Astyanax mexicanus: one gene and its partners. The protein of the gene in region 1 purifies or fractionates together with the protein of each later gene. This does not show direct contact. Links are inferred from orthologs where the notes say so. Each region holds a gene or a part of one and is shown on either strand. Other genes may lie near its edges.

Region 1 (3,754 bases):
TGAAAGTAATCAGGAAAATGTATTATTTAAAGTGGTATATTTCATTATTTGTTTTATTACAGAGTCTGTGATCCGTGACTTCAAATATATTTCTCCTTCTGGCCCCCAACAAAAAAAGTTTGGACACCCCTGACATATATGATTAGAAAAAGGAATCTGCAAGTGCCTATGTGTTCAGAGTTTTTTTCAAAAATACTTAATGTAAATGTAACATTAATCTATTTGTTGTTACTTTATTTTTTGAATAAGGGTCTGTTTACTATTTAGTGCAGTTTTTTAGAACACAGGGTGGTTGTACTTTATTTGTTTTAGTTATTTAGGATATTAAAATATTTTGCTAGTATATAATATAGTATATATATAGTGGCACATTGTCTTAAAGCTCCTTTGGGAGCCCAGAAGCAGGAAAAAGCATTTTCTATAGTGGTGCTTTAAAATGACAATATTATTGTTTATCACAATAATTTCTGGGACGATATATCATCCTGAAAATGTTATCGTGACAGGCCTAATTGTGTGTAGTTACGTGACTCTACCCCTGACAAAGAAGGTCACTGTGTCCGTCTCTCATTAAAAGAACTTTCCATTTATCATAATTAAAATGAAATGTTTATTTTATTGTGACAGCGCTTTGAGCTCGTATCGCTGAGCTCGGGTTATAATATATATATAAAAACAGCGCTTACTCACCTTTTTCCGACTTTTTGACGTTGTTGGCTCATCAAAGCCCAGTTCTTCATCCTCGTCTGAGGGCAACTCCTGAAAATAATCGATTTCCTCCCCCACACCTTCCTTCCCCTCCCTCTTATCCATATCATCCAGAAACGCCTCCATCTCCGCCAGCTTAAAGAACTGATCATCCACCTCCGACACAGTCCTGGAGGGAGGGAACTTCGCTGTGCTGTTCTTCTTCTGTTTGCTCTGTTTCTCTAATTTATCCACATCAAAATCGATATCAGAGTCCTCATCAGAAAATCCATCTTCCTCCTCATCCTCATCTTCATCATCAGCTGCTGCTGCTGCTTTTGATTTAGGCTTTAGTCTGTTTTCTTTGTTGTTGTCCTCCTCATCATCATCTTCCTCATCATCTTCCAGCTCCTCATCATCACCATTCTCTCCATCTCCTTCATCTTCCTCATCCTCCTCTTCCTCTGTGATGATGGTTAGTGTGTCGTCGGCGACGGCCTGACCCACGGCCTCCTCGAAGTGCTGGATCACGGTGCTGTTCTGAAGCTCCAGCTCCTGCCAGATCTGCTCCTCATCGAAGTTCTCCACCACCAGCTGGTCCAGTGGGCTGCCGGTGCTGCCGGCCTGCGGCTGGGATTTGTGCAGGTCGTACAGGGTCTTAGTGAGGGCGGTGAAGTCTGAGGCCAGAGCATCCTGCAGCCTGTTACAGTCATAAACACAGAGGAGGAACATGAGAGATGCTCACCTGAAGAGCTATACACACATCAGCACTATACACTACACACTATTCAACACACACCAGCACTATACACACACTATACAACATCAACTACACATGAGAAATTTAACAGAACGCGTTATCGGATTCATGTCTCTACTGTCCAGTTAATTAGTTAGATTACTTTATTTAAGCGGAAAAAATAAGCTTTCTCTTTTGCTTTTCTGAAATAAATGTTGCTGACCATCCTAATTGTAATATTTTTTCATACTGAAGTAAATCTGCAAATTAATTTGTGGCTTTGGAGGCAATCTGAAAGAAGTCAGAAGGGCAAAGCAGTTTTTAACAGCCCACTCTGCAATATTTGCAGTGCAGTAAAGAAGTAAGTCTTCAGTATACAGATGTACTTTACAATCTTTATCTGTCAACACATTTTTATTGATATATTAAATATAACTACCCTATAACTGAACCCAGAGGGATTCCTTTAGTGACTGGTAGAAGATCAGAAGCACAGCTTCCAAACAAAATGAAATGTTATACTGCGCAGGCCTATTTATCAGCATTCAAACACTGATGACTGAACAGCTGTACTTCTTTTTTTTATCAGTTTAATTGGATGGACAGAAACAGTGTTTTTCTTGGGTTGTCTGTGAGTCAACATATATCAATACATGTTGTGTATCATGGAAAAAAGTCATTAGATTTTGTGACCTAGCTAATATTGTTGCTATTTTGCACACTCTTACACTAGACACACACACACACACACACACACACACACACTAACACAGTTACACACAGTCACTTACTGTTACACACATACACGCAGTCACACATTTTTACAGTCATACACGCAGTTATACACATTATTGCACACGCACGCGGTTGGACATACGGCTGGACACAGTTACATAGGCACACACACTTACACACGCTGTTAAACACACGCGGTTACGCGGTTACACACACACACACACACACACACACACACACACACACACACACACACACACACACACACACACAGAAACTGTTAAGACAGTTACACACGCACACACTGTTACACACATACTGTTACACACAGTGTTTGACACTCAGTTACACACGCACACACTGTTACACACACTGAATCTCTGAAGAGAAAGGTAGAACTGAACTGCTGCTGTAAAGCTAAAGTTAAAGCAGCCACGCTGGAGTTACTGAGACACGCGAGCTGCAGCACTGAACCCCATCTGCCCCATTTAAACACAACAACCTGATAAATTCCTCTAACAAACAGAACCAGCCCTCCGCGGCCCTGCCTGAGTTTAGAACCGGGTAAATGATCTCCTCTCACCGTAAGAAGCGCTCGGGCAGAGCCGCGCTCCTCTCCAAAACCTCTAAACACGTTTCCAGCGTGCGCGCCGCCATCACTGCTACTGCTCCCACTGAATCAACCGACTCCTCACACACGACTCCTCACCAACCGAATCAGAGGAACCGACTCACGAGTCACCACTCAACCCAACCTTTATTCCAAACATTTATAATAAACAATTTTAAAAATAATTAAATTATCTATTTTTTTTTACAAAAGAATATTCTGAAAGTATTTTTCACATGTTTATAATTGACAGCCATTTTCTGCAAGTTAACAGAGTTTCTTTTGTATTCTTAGTGAAAGTCTGTAACATTATATGTTCAAAATATAATTTAAAAATACAATTATATCTACTTTTACATAGTATACATAAGTATACATGTATCATTTATACACTTCTGCACTGCACTGCCAATCAAATAAGCCTGGATCTATGTTAACTTCTATTATAATATTCATCTTATTTCGAACTTATTGCTTTTATTTTTACACTTTTAGCAGATTAGATCATTTAAAACTTACTTGAAGGAACTTAGAAATAAGTTAAGATAAAAAAAATACTCTAAAAAACTCTAAATCAGACATATTCGCTATTTCTGAATATTTCAGAATATTGTATTATTATTATTTTACAGGATAAGCGATAAACATACAAGATAAAGCCTAAAAATAAAAATAAATTGTTTTAATAATAAACTTAACACTTAAGATGAACTTAAAACAATAAATGACAGTTTAATCATAAATGAGGGGGAAAAAAATCGCTTATTTTGAATCAATAAGCCCGAATCAATGATTCACTGAATCAATAGACGCAGGTCGTTTGCAAGAGTCGGTTCGATTAAAAGAATCAAACTGACCGTCATAGTCCCGGTCCGCGAGACCACGTTCCCTTAGAAACAGGACGGAGGTTCCACGTGATCTTCCAGTTTAATGTTTTTAAAGCTCTATATTTTTTTATATAAAACAAATACGCGAGTTATTGG
Region 2 (3,754 bases), on another chromosome or scaffold:
GATAAACTTCTGCTCTTCTTTAAAGCTTTTAGGAAGTGAAGATGAACAGGAACTCTCACCCACAGACCATCACTGTTCCTTCCTTTATTTAAATACAGAATGACCAACTGCTCTTTGCTGGTCGCCTTTTACACTCATTTACTCATCTACTCATTTACATCTGTTCATTTTATCATTTCATTTATAAGTTATAAATTACTGCAGGTGGTTTGGTTTGGTGTGGATCAGGATTTTTATCTCACATATAAAGTACAGTATTTTACTACCAAATATTTGTTATTTAAACTCGAATCTGAACAAAATTTTACATAAATAATTTGTTTTGTAAGTTAAATGTATTTAATTTTCTTTCAGTGCCATTTTAAAAGCAACAGTCTTCCATTTTCTAAAATATTCATAAAGCATCTCTTTGTTAATAAGTGTATTTAACGGATTTGTATATGGAAATAATGCTATTTTGTTTTAATTGTTTTTCAGCAAACATTTTTTTAAACATTTAATTTTTACCTTTTAATGACTGTAAAACCGAAAAACTGCAATGAAGTTTTACTGGAATTTAATTTAAATAAAAAATACAAAACTATTATTTTGATCTGATAGAAAACTTACTTTGTTCACTCTGTTCATAAAAAAAACTGTTTTTTTTTTCAGATTATTACTGATGTTTTAAAACCTAAAACATTATTAAATCTTATCATCACATTTTACTGCAGCAAAGCACGTAAAAGAATGGATCCATTTAATATACAATATATATTATAATATACTGTATTTTTTTGAGAAATAATTTAAGTTAATAAAGATTTTTAAATAGTACCGTTTTATCGTTAATAATTGAAACGTTGTTTTCTTTACGTTTATAGGACTTTTATTTTGAACGAGTCAGGCCGGAAGCTGGGTCAGTCGGTGGTAAACACGTGTGGAAGAGAAAAATCTTCAGAATGGTAAAAACTGTTTATTTTTATTAAATATATTTGTTTATTTTTATGTTATTAATTTAATAGTGTTATTTATATCCAGCCCGTCTGTGTTGATTAAACAGGAACTCTGTATAAAAACTGTAATTAGTTCTGAACCGCTAATCTATAAAATACTGACCGATTATTAAAAACACGATCAGGAGTTTAAACTCTATATAAGATACAGTTTATAGTGTTTATTGTGTTTATAGTGTTTATAGTGTTTATAGTGTTTATAGTGTTTAGCTTTAATGAGGCGAGTCCACCTTAACGCGTCGCCTTAAAATGCTGAACTGTTTAAGGTGGACCGGACATTTAAAAAAGAAAAACAGCTTTAAAATGAACGGTTTCAGTTTATAGTTTATAAATTATATAAAGATAACTTTATATACAATACTGTTTATAGAACCTGCATTTAAGAACTAAAGTGGGAAACCAGTAAATAATGTAGATTTGTACAGTAAAATAAAAACGATTTTAAAACGATTTTTTATCTCGAAACATATTTTACGTGTTAACATTAATTTTTCAAAATAGTAATATTAGTATTTGTTTGCAATAACTCAAGACTAACTTCTGAAGTATTTTCAGCTTTTCCGGTGTTTTTATGAAGATTAATCTAAATACAACTGATTTACCACAAGAAATGAAAAAGTCACTTATTTACACTAAAAATTAAAATGAGAAGACAGTAAGTTAACATTATATTATTAATGTATGCATTTGAAATTAATACAAATTACAGATGCACCAAGCAAAATGCCACTTTTTACCACTTTTTAAACTGTGTTTTAAGACAAAACACAGTTTAAGTTCAAAACTTTAATTTAAAATATTTATTGAACACAGACAAACCAGTAAAGCCCATTACATTTACCTCAGAATTTCTATTGTAAAATTAAAGCTATCTCAGCAGTTCTATTATAATAATGAATTTATCTCAGCAGTTCTATTATAGTAATAAATTTATCTCAGCAGTTCTATTATAATAATAAATTTAACTTCAGGATTTCTATTATACTAATGAATTTAACCTCAGAATTTCTATTGTAAAATTAAAGCTATCTCAGCAGTTCTATTGTAATAATGAATTTATATCAGTAGGTTAATTAATAACTGTATATGATGATAATCTCAGTGCTTTATAGTTTATGATCAGTGTTTTCTGATCGGAATTTTCTGCTGCAGCTTCGGCGGGAGATCCGGCTCAGGAAGGAGTACCTGTACAGGAAGGCCCAGGAGGAGCGACTGCACTCCATCGAGGAGAAGAAGCAGAAGCTGAAGTCTGCGTTAGATGGTGAGACTAAAATCTGTTCTAAAATAAAAACAAAACCTGGACTAATTTATAAAATGATGTAAGGATTCAGATTCTATGATTGTAAACAGGCTCTGATGTGAGAACCATGTCTACACCATCATAAAAATGAGAATTTTCTTATAGAATAAATAGTAATATAAACTGAATATGATGTCGTGGTGAAGATGTCACTTGCTTTAAATTTTGATTTTTTATTTATTTTTTTACAACAGAAAATCGTCTGATACCCACTGAGGTCCGTAAAGAAGCTCTACAGCTTCAGAAACTGCTGGAGTTTGATGATGAAGGTGGAGAAGGTAACTCAGTTCATGGATTTATCACATCTGCATAAATAATGCAACTATGGTTATATATATATATATATATAGATATCTGCTCATGTGAGGGATTTAAAATAGGACGAAAAAACCCTTTAAGAACCAAAAACTCTCTTTAGCAGAATGTTTGTCTCGATCCTCTTATGGAGTAAAAAGATGCTCTATAGAAGTTGTCAGGTTTTATAGTGATGTTTCTATAGTTATGTAACACTTTGAGATATGCTTTAAATGTAAAGTGTGTTACAAATTGATTATTATATGAACCTTGATTATTTGCTTCTTTTATTTGTTATTTTACTTGATATTTTGGTTTGTTCTTTTGTGTTTTAGATTACTTTTATTTATTTAATTTTATTTATTTATTATATGTATGTGTATGCATGTTTGTGTATGTGTATATATGTATATGTGCATATGTGTACATGTATGTATGTAAATATATGTATATGTATGTATTAGGTATTTTATTTCTGTCTGTAAAGCACTTTATGAGGTGCTCTAGAAATGTGCTTTATAAATAAAGCTTACTTACTTACTAAATAAAATGTATTATTTTTATTGTTATTAGGATTTAGGCTTCAGGTTTAGGGATAGTTTTTTTAAGGGTTTGGCTCCTGGGTTTAGGGATTAGAGTTTGGTTTAAAGGTTTAGGATTAGGGTTTAGGGTTTGGTTTTGGGTTTGGGATTAGTGTTTAGGCTTTGGGTTTAGGGCTCGGGTTTAAGGTTTAGACCTGCAGTGCACTGATTCTCTGCTGTGGTTCTGTTGGGATCAGGGGTCAGCTCTCATATGGATGATGAGTATAAGTGGGCCGGAGTGGAAGACCCGAAAGTGATGGTGACGACGTCCCGGGACCCGAGCTCCAGGCTGAAGATGTTCGCTAAGGTCGGTTAAAGATAAATAAAAGGATTAAAAGTTTACAGACTTTGTTAAACGTCTGTTATAAGTCTGTTTCACTGATCTGGAGACGATGTTTGTTCTCACATCTCTTATAAACCACTCCCTGTCTGTGGTTAACGTGGTGTTCATGTCAGCAGAGATAACGTTTAAATTTTTACTCAGGAAGTGAAGCTGATGTTTCCAGGGGCCCAACGCATGAACAGAGGAAACCACGAAGTTAACACTTTAGTGCACGCCTGCAAAGCCAACGGCGTCACCGACC
Region 3 (3,754 bases), on another chromosome or scaffold:
GGTCCAGGAAGCCAGTTGGACCATCAGGTCCAGTTCTTCTAGTTTCTATAGAGGAGAAAGTTCAGCTCCATTGTGAGGGTAATCTCCTTGATGAAAAGCTCAGATGTGAAGGTATGGAGGCTTTAAAAAAATAAAACGAAACAGGTTTGACTGAACGTTTCTTTCTTTTCATAAGAACAGAGTAGAAGCTCATTTCAGAACAACAAAACAACCAATAAATTACAGCAATTACTCAGGTATGCAAAACTGAACATATGATTCATAACGTCTCCATTCTGTATCAACCTGAGAGTTATTACATTATATTTACACCTCAACTGTGCAAATTCACAATTCTCACGAGTCAAGAGGAGAGAAAAATAAACAGGAAAAAGTACAAAAGTAACAAAATATACAACAGAAAAATAGAAAAATGAAACAGAAAGAAATACAAAATAAAAAAGCAGGAACAGAGGAAGGGGATAGGAGAAAAAAATAGTAAAGAAAAAAGAGAAAAGTAAAACTGAAAAAAAAAATTAAGATAAAAATAAAAAAGAGTATGAAAAATGACAGAAGGGAGAAGGATGGGACTGAAGAGAAAGAAAGAAAGAAAGAAAAGAGCAACAGAAATAAAGAAAGAAAACAAGAAAGAAAGAAAAAAATAAGAGAAAAATTAAGAAAGAAAGAAAAAAATAAGAGAAAAATTAAGAAAGAAAGAAAAAAATAAGGGGACAAGAAAAGGGACAGGACATAGAAATAGAAAAACAAATGAGGATAAAAATAATACAAAATTGGGGGGACAAAAGAGTACTAAAAATGACAAATAGAAGGGAGAATGATGTGAATAAAGAAGAAAAAAGAAAGAAAGAAAGAAAGAAAGAAAGAAGAGATGCAGAAAAAAATAAAAGACAGAAAGATCAACTAAAGAGGAAAACAAAGAAAGAAAGAAAGAAAGAAAGTGAGCTAAAAAGGAAACAACACAAAATTAAAAAAGAAAGAAAGAATAAGAGAAAAAGGAGATAGAAAGATTAAAAAAGGAGTAAATTGGACGGTAGAAGGTGGAAATGGGGCTAAATGGAGAGAGAATAATAAAGAAATTAAATGCTCCTCCCGGTCTGTAGGGGGCGCTGTTTCAGAGCCGCTGTGTTTCTCCTGCAGGCGGCCATGTGTTTCTCCTCACTCACTGTAGTGTTTCTCAGACTCCGCTAAGATTAGCTCTCTCTGTTTCTCTGTAGTTTAGCGGATTTAATCGGTAAAATGGTCCGAAAGCTGAAGTTCCACGAGCAGAAGCTCCTGAGGAAAGTAGACTTTATTAACTGGGAGGTGGATAATAACCTGCACGAGGTGAAGATCCTGAGAAAATACCACATCGAGAAGAGAGAGGACTACACCAAGTGAGTGTTTATACTGAATATACAGATTCAGCCTTTTCCTCTTTTAAAATCTTTTTAAAATCTCAGTTTGCCTGTTTTACCTTGTCTAACTGTTCTCTGAAAACTGAACCAAAAGAAAAATAACAAACAAGATCCAGCAGATGACAGACATGTCTCTCCAAACCATCACTGTTCATCAGTAAATTTTACATTTCATTTAAAGTAAATCAAGGGATCAGAGTCTGGAGGAAGAGTGGATGGAGAGACACACAGTCCAGACTGCTTGAGGTCTAGTGTGAAGTTTCCACCAATCAGTGATGATTTGGAGAGACATGTCATCTGCTGGTGTTGGTCCAAAGTATGGAGATGCGGATTTCATTTTCCAGCAGTACTTGGCACACTGCCGACACTACCACAAGTACCAATTGCGTTTATGTAATATTATTATAATTTTCTGAGACACTGATTGTTGAGTTTTTTATTGGCTGTAAGCCATAATCATCAACAAAAAAGAAGAAATAAATTCTTAAAATAGTGTATTACACTAACTTTACAATAATATTTATTTTTTTTTAGATACACTAGAATAAGGGTAAGAAAATATTAATGTTATAATGTTAATGTATTATTTTTTTTAGGTACAACAAACTGAGTCGCAACATCAGAGAACTGGCCCAGAAAATCCGCGACTTGGATGAAAAGGACGGTTTCCGAGCTCAGAGCACCTCACAGTTCCTGGAGAAACTGTACGTTTAGGAACTTTCCTCACCTCCTCATCTGTAGCTGATATTCTGAACAGTGGAATAGTGTAAAATAATGTGTAAGGATGTGTTGTCTGATTCAGTTTTTTCTCTTTGCAGCTACTGTATCGGATTGATCCCCACCAAACAGAACCTGGCTCTTGCAGATGCTGTCAGTGCTTCCTGCTTTTGTAGGTGAGTGAGTGAGAGAGAGTGAATGAGTTTGTTTGTGTGTGAGAAAACAGATCATGATGTATAAGTAGGTTTACTTATGGTGCAAAAGTCATTTCAGTGTCATGCTACAGATTAATTCTAAGTATAATAGAGAATTGTGCTTGAAAATAGTGTAAAAGTAATGATTGATTTCTCTCTATTATGTCTGACCTGCAGGAGACGGCTGCCAACAATTATGCTGAAGCTGCGCATGGCTCAGAACCTGAAAGCTGCCGTCACGTTCATCGAACAAGGACGTATCCTTACTTACTGTTTTAAAGAGCTGGTTCAGTTTGTTAGAACCAGAAGAAATGGTCCTATTGAAACCATGAAGCACCAAAAAAGCGCTTTCACCAGTTCTTAATAATTCAGTTTGTTTTGATTTAAGGATGAACACAGTGTGGACAAAACACAGGCTTACCTGTCATATGAAATTAGAATCATGTTATTAGAAGCGTGAATTTGAATCTATATCATTTGAACCTGATTTCTGCTTTTTAGAATCTAAAAATATCAATATTTAACTTATAAAATCCAACTAGGTTACATAATTCTGATCATTAATTAGTATTCTTATATATATATATATATATATATATATATGATTATTACAGTTCCTTCACTGAATGGCAGATATTCGTGTTGGGCCAGAGGTCGTCACAGACCCTGCTTTTCTTGTTACAAGGTCAGTTCTGTTTTTATTCTTTTTCTCTTTTTTTTCTTTTTAATTTAGTCATATTCAACTCCAGCTTTCACGTGATATCATCAAACGCAATGCAGGCCAGTGAATACTTTTGTCAGTATAGTATATCTACAGAAACCTTACAGTTCCCAAGTTGGTGCATCCCAACTGTTACATATCTTGTTTATCCATAGGTTTATTTGCATTATTTATTTATTACCTCCACAGGAACATGGAGGATTTTGTGACCTGGGTGGACTCCTCCAAGATCAAACAGCATGTCATGAATTACAATGAGGAGGTATGAATGCTATGCTAATGTCTGTCCTTTATCCTAGTTATTGTGCTGGAAAAATGTTTGTGTGTCTTGTTTCTGTTCTCACAACAGTCTGGAATTAATATAAACGGTTCCCAATTGAAAGTTGCCTGTTTTTATAATAGTTTGAATGTCTGGCCTCATGTCACCTACTCTGGATTTCTGTCAATTGGTTCTGAATTAGATTTTAAGATCCATTTCCGCTCTCAGGGGATTAATCAGATTAGTACTTTTGTCAGTGTGGGCAGTGTGACAAGTCCTGCTGGAAAATGAAGTTAAACATGCAATATTTTTGGGTGCTGTTGTGTACAATAAACAATACACAATACACTAACGTTGCTACCTAGTATGATAAGGTTTCCAGCTTGCAATCTAATGTTACTTGCTAGTGTGCTAATGTCACTACCTCGCATTTACTTCTTAAAAGCAAATAAATAATGTCTTGTCTTTT

What was found.
Region 2: the proteins of mphosph10 (region 1) and imp4 purify together in Homo sapiens (affinity purification with mass spectrometry; 3 studies listed by BioGRID and IntAct, with this or other methods). This does not show direct contact. The link is inferred for Astyanax mexicanus from reciprocal best matches to the Homo sapiens genes MPHOSPH10 and IMP4.
Region 3: the proteins of mphosph10 (region 1) and imp3 purify together in Homo sapiens (affinity purification with mass spectrometry; 4 studies listed by BioGRID and IntAct, with this or other methods). This does not show direct contact. The link is inferred for Astyanax mexicanus from reciprocal best matches to the Homo sapiens genes MPHOSPH10 and IMP3.

What each region holds. Positions count from the first base shown.
Region 1 is NC_064430.1:30,525,676-30,529,429, reverse strand, and holds the start of mphosph10 (U3 small nucleolar ribonucleoprotein protein MPP10), read right to left. Parts: upstream 2,868-3,754; 5' UTR 2,819-2,867; coding exon 2,745-2,818; intron 1,388-2,744; coding exon 691-1,387; intron 1-690. UniProt on the Homo sapiens protein: Component of the 60-80S U3 small nucleolar ribonucleoprotein (U3 snoRNP). Required for the early cleavages during pre-18S ribosomal RNA processing. Part of the small subunit (SSU) processome, first precursor of the small eukaryotic ribosomal subunit.
Region 2 is NC_064429.1:38,794,433-38,798,186, forward strand, and holds the start of imp4 (U3 small nucleolar ribonucleoprotein protein IMP4), read left to right. Parts: upstream 1-867; 5' UTR 868-941; coding exon 942-944; intron 945-2,147; coding exon 2,148-2,256; intron 2,257-2,489; coding exon 2,490-2,573; intron 2,574-3,367; coding exon 3,368-3,477; intron 3,478-3,654; coding exon 3,655-3,754. UniProt on the Homo sapiens protein: Component of the 60-80S U3 small nucleolar ribonucleoprotein (U3 snoRNP). Required for the early cleavages during pre-18S ribosomal RNA processing. Part of the small subunit (SSU) processome, first precursor of the small eukaryotic ribosomal subunit.
Region 3 is NC_064415.1:56,932,409-56,936,162, forward strand, and holds the start of imp3 (U3 small nucleolar ribonucleoprotein protein IMP3), read left to right. Parts: upstream 1-1,104; 5' UTR 1,105-1,236; coding exon 1,237-1,373; intron 1,374-1,990; coding exon 1,991-2,098; intron 2,099-2,212; coding exon 2,213-2,287; intron 2,288-2,482; coding exon 2,483-2,562; intron 2,563-2,938; coding exon 2,939-2,990; intron 2,991-3,215; coding exon 3,216-3,288; intron 3,289-3,754. UniProt on the Homo sapiens protein: Component of the 60-80S U3 small nucleolar ribonucleoprotein (U3 snoRNP). Required for the early cleavages during pre-18S ribosomal RNA processing. Part of the small subunit (SSU) processome, first precursor of the small eukaryotic ribosomal subunit.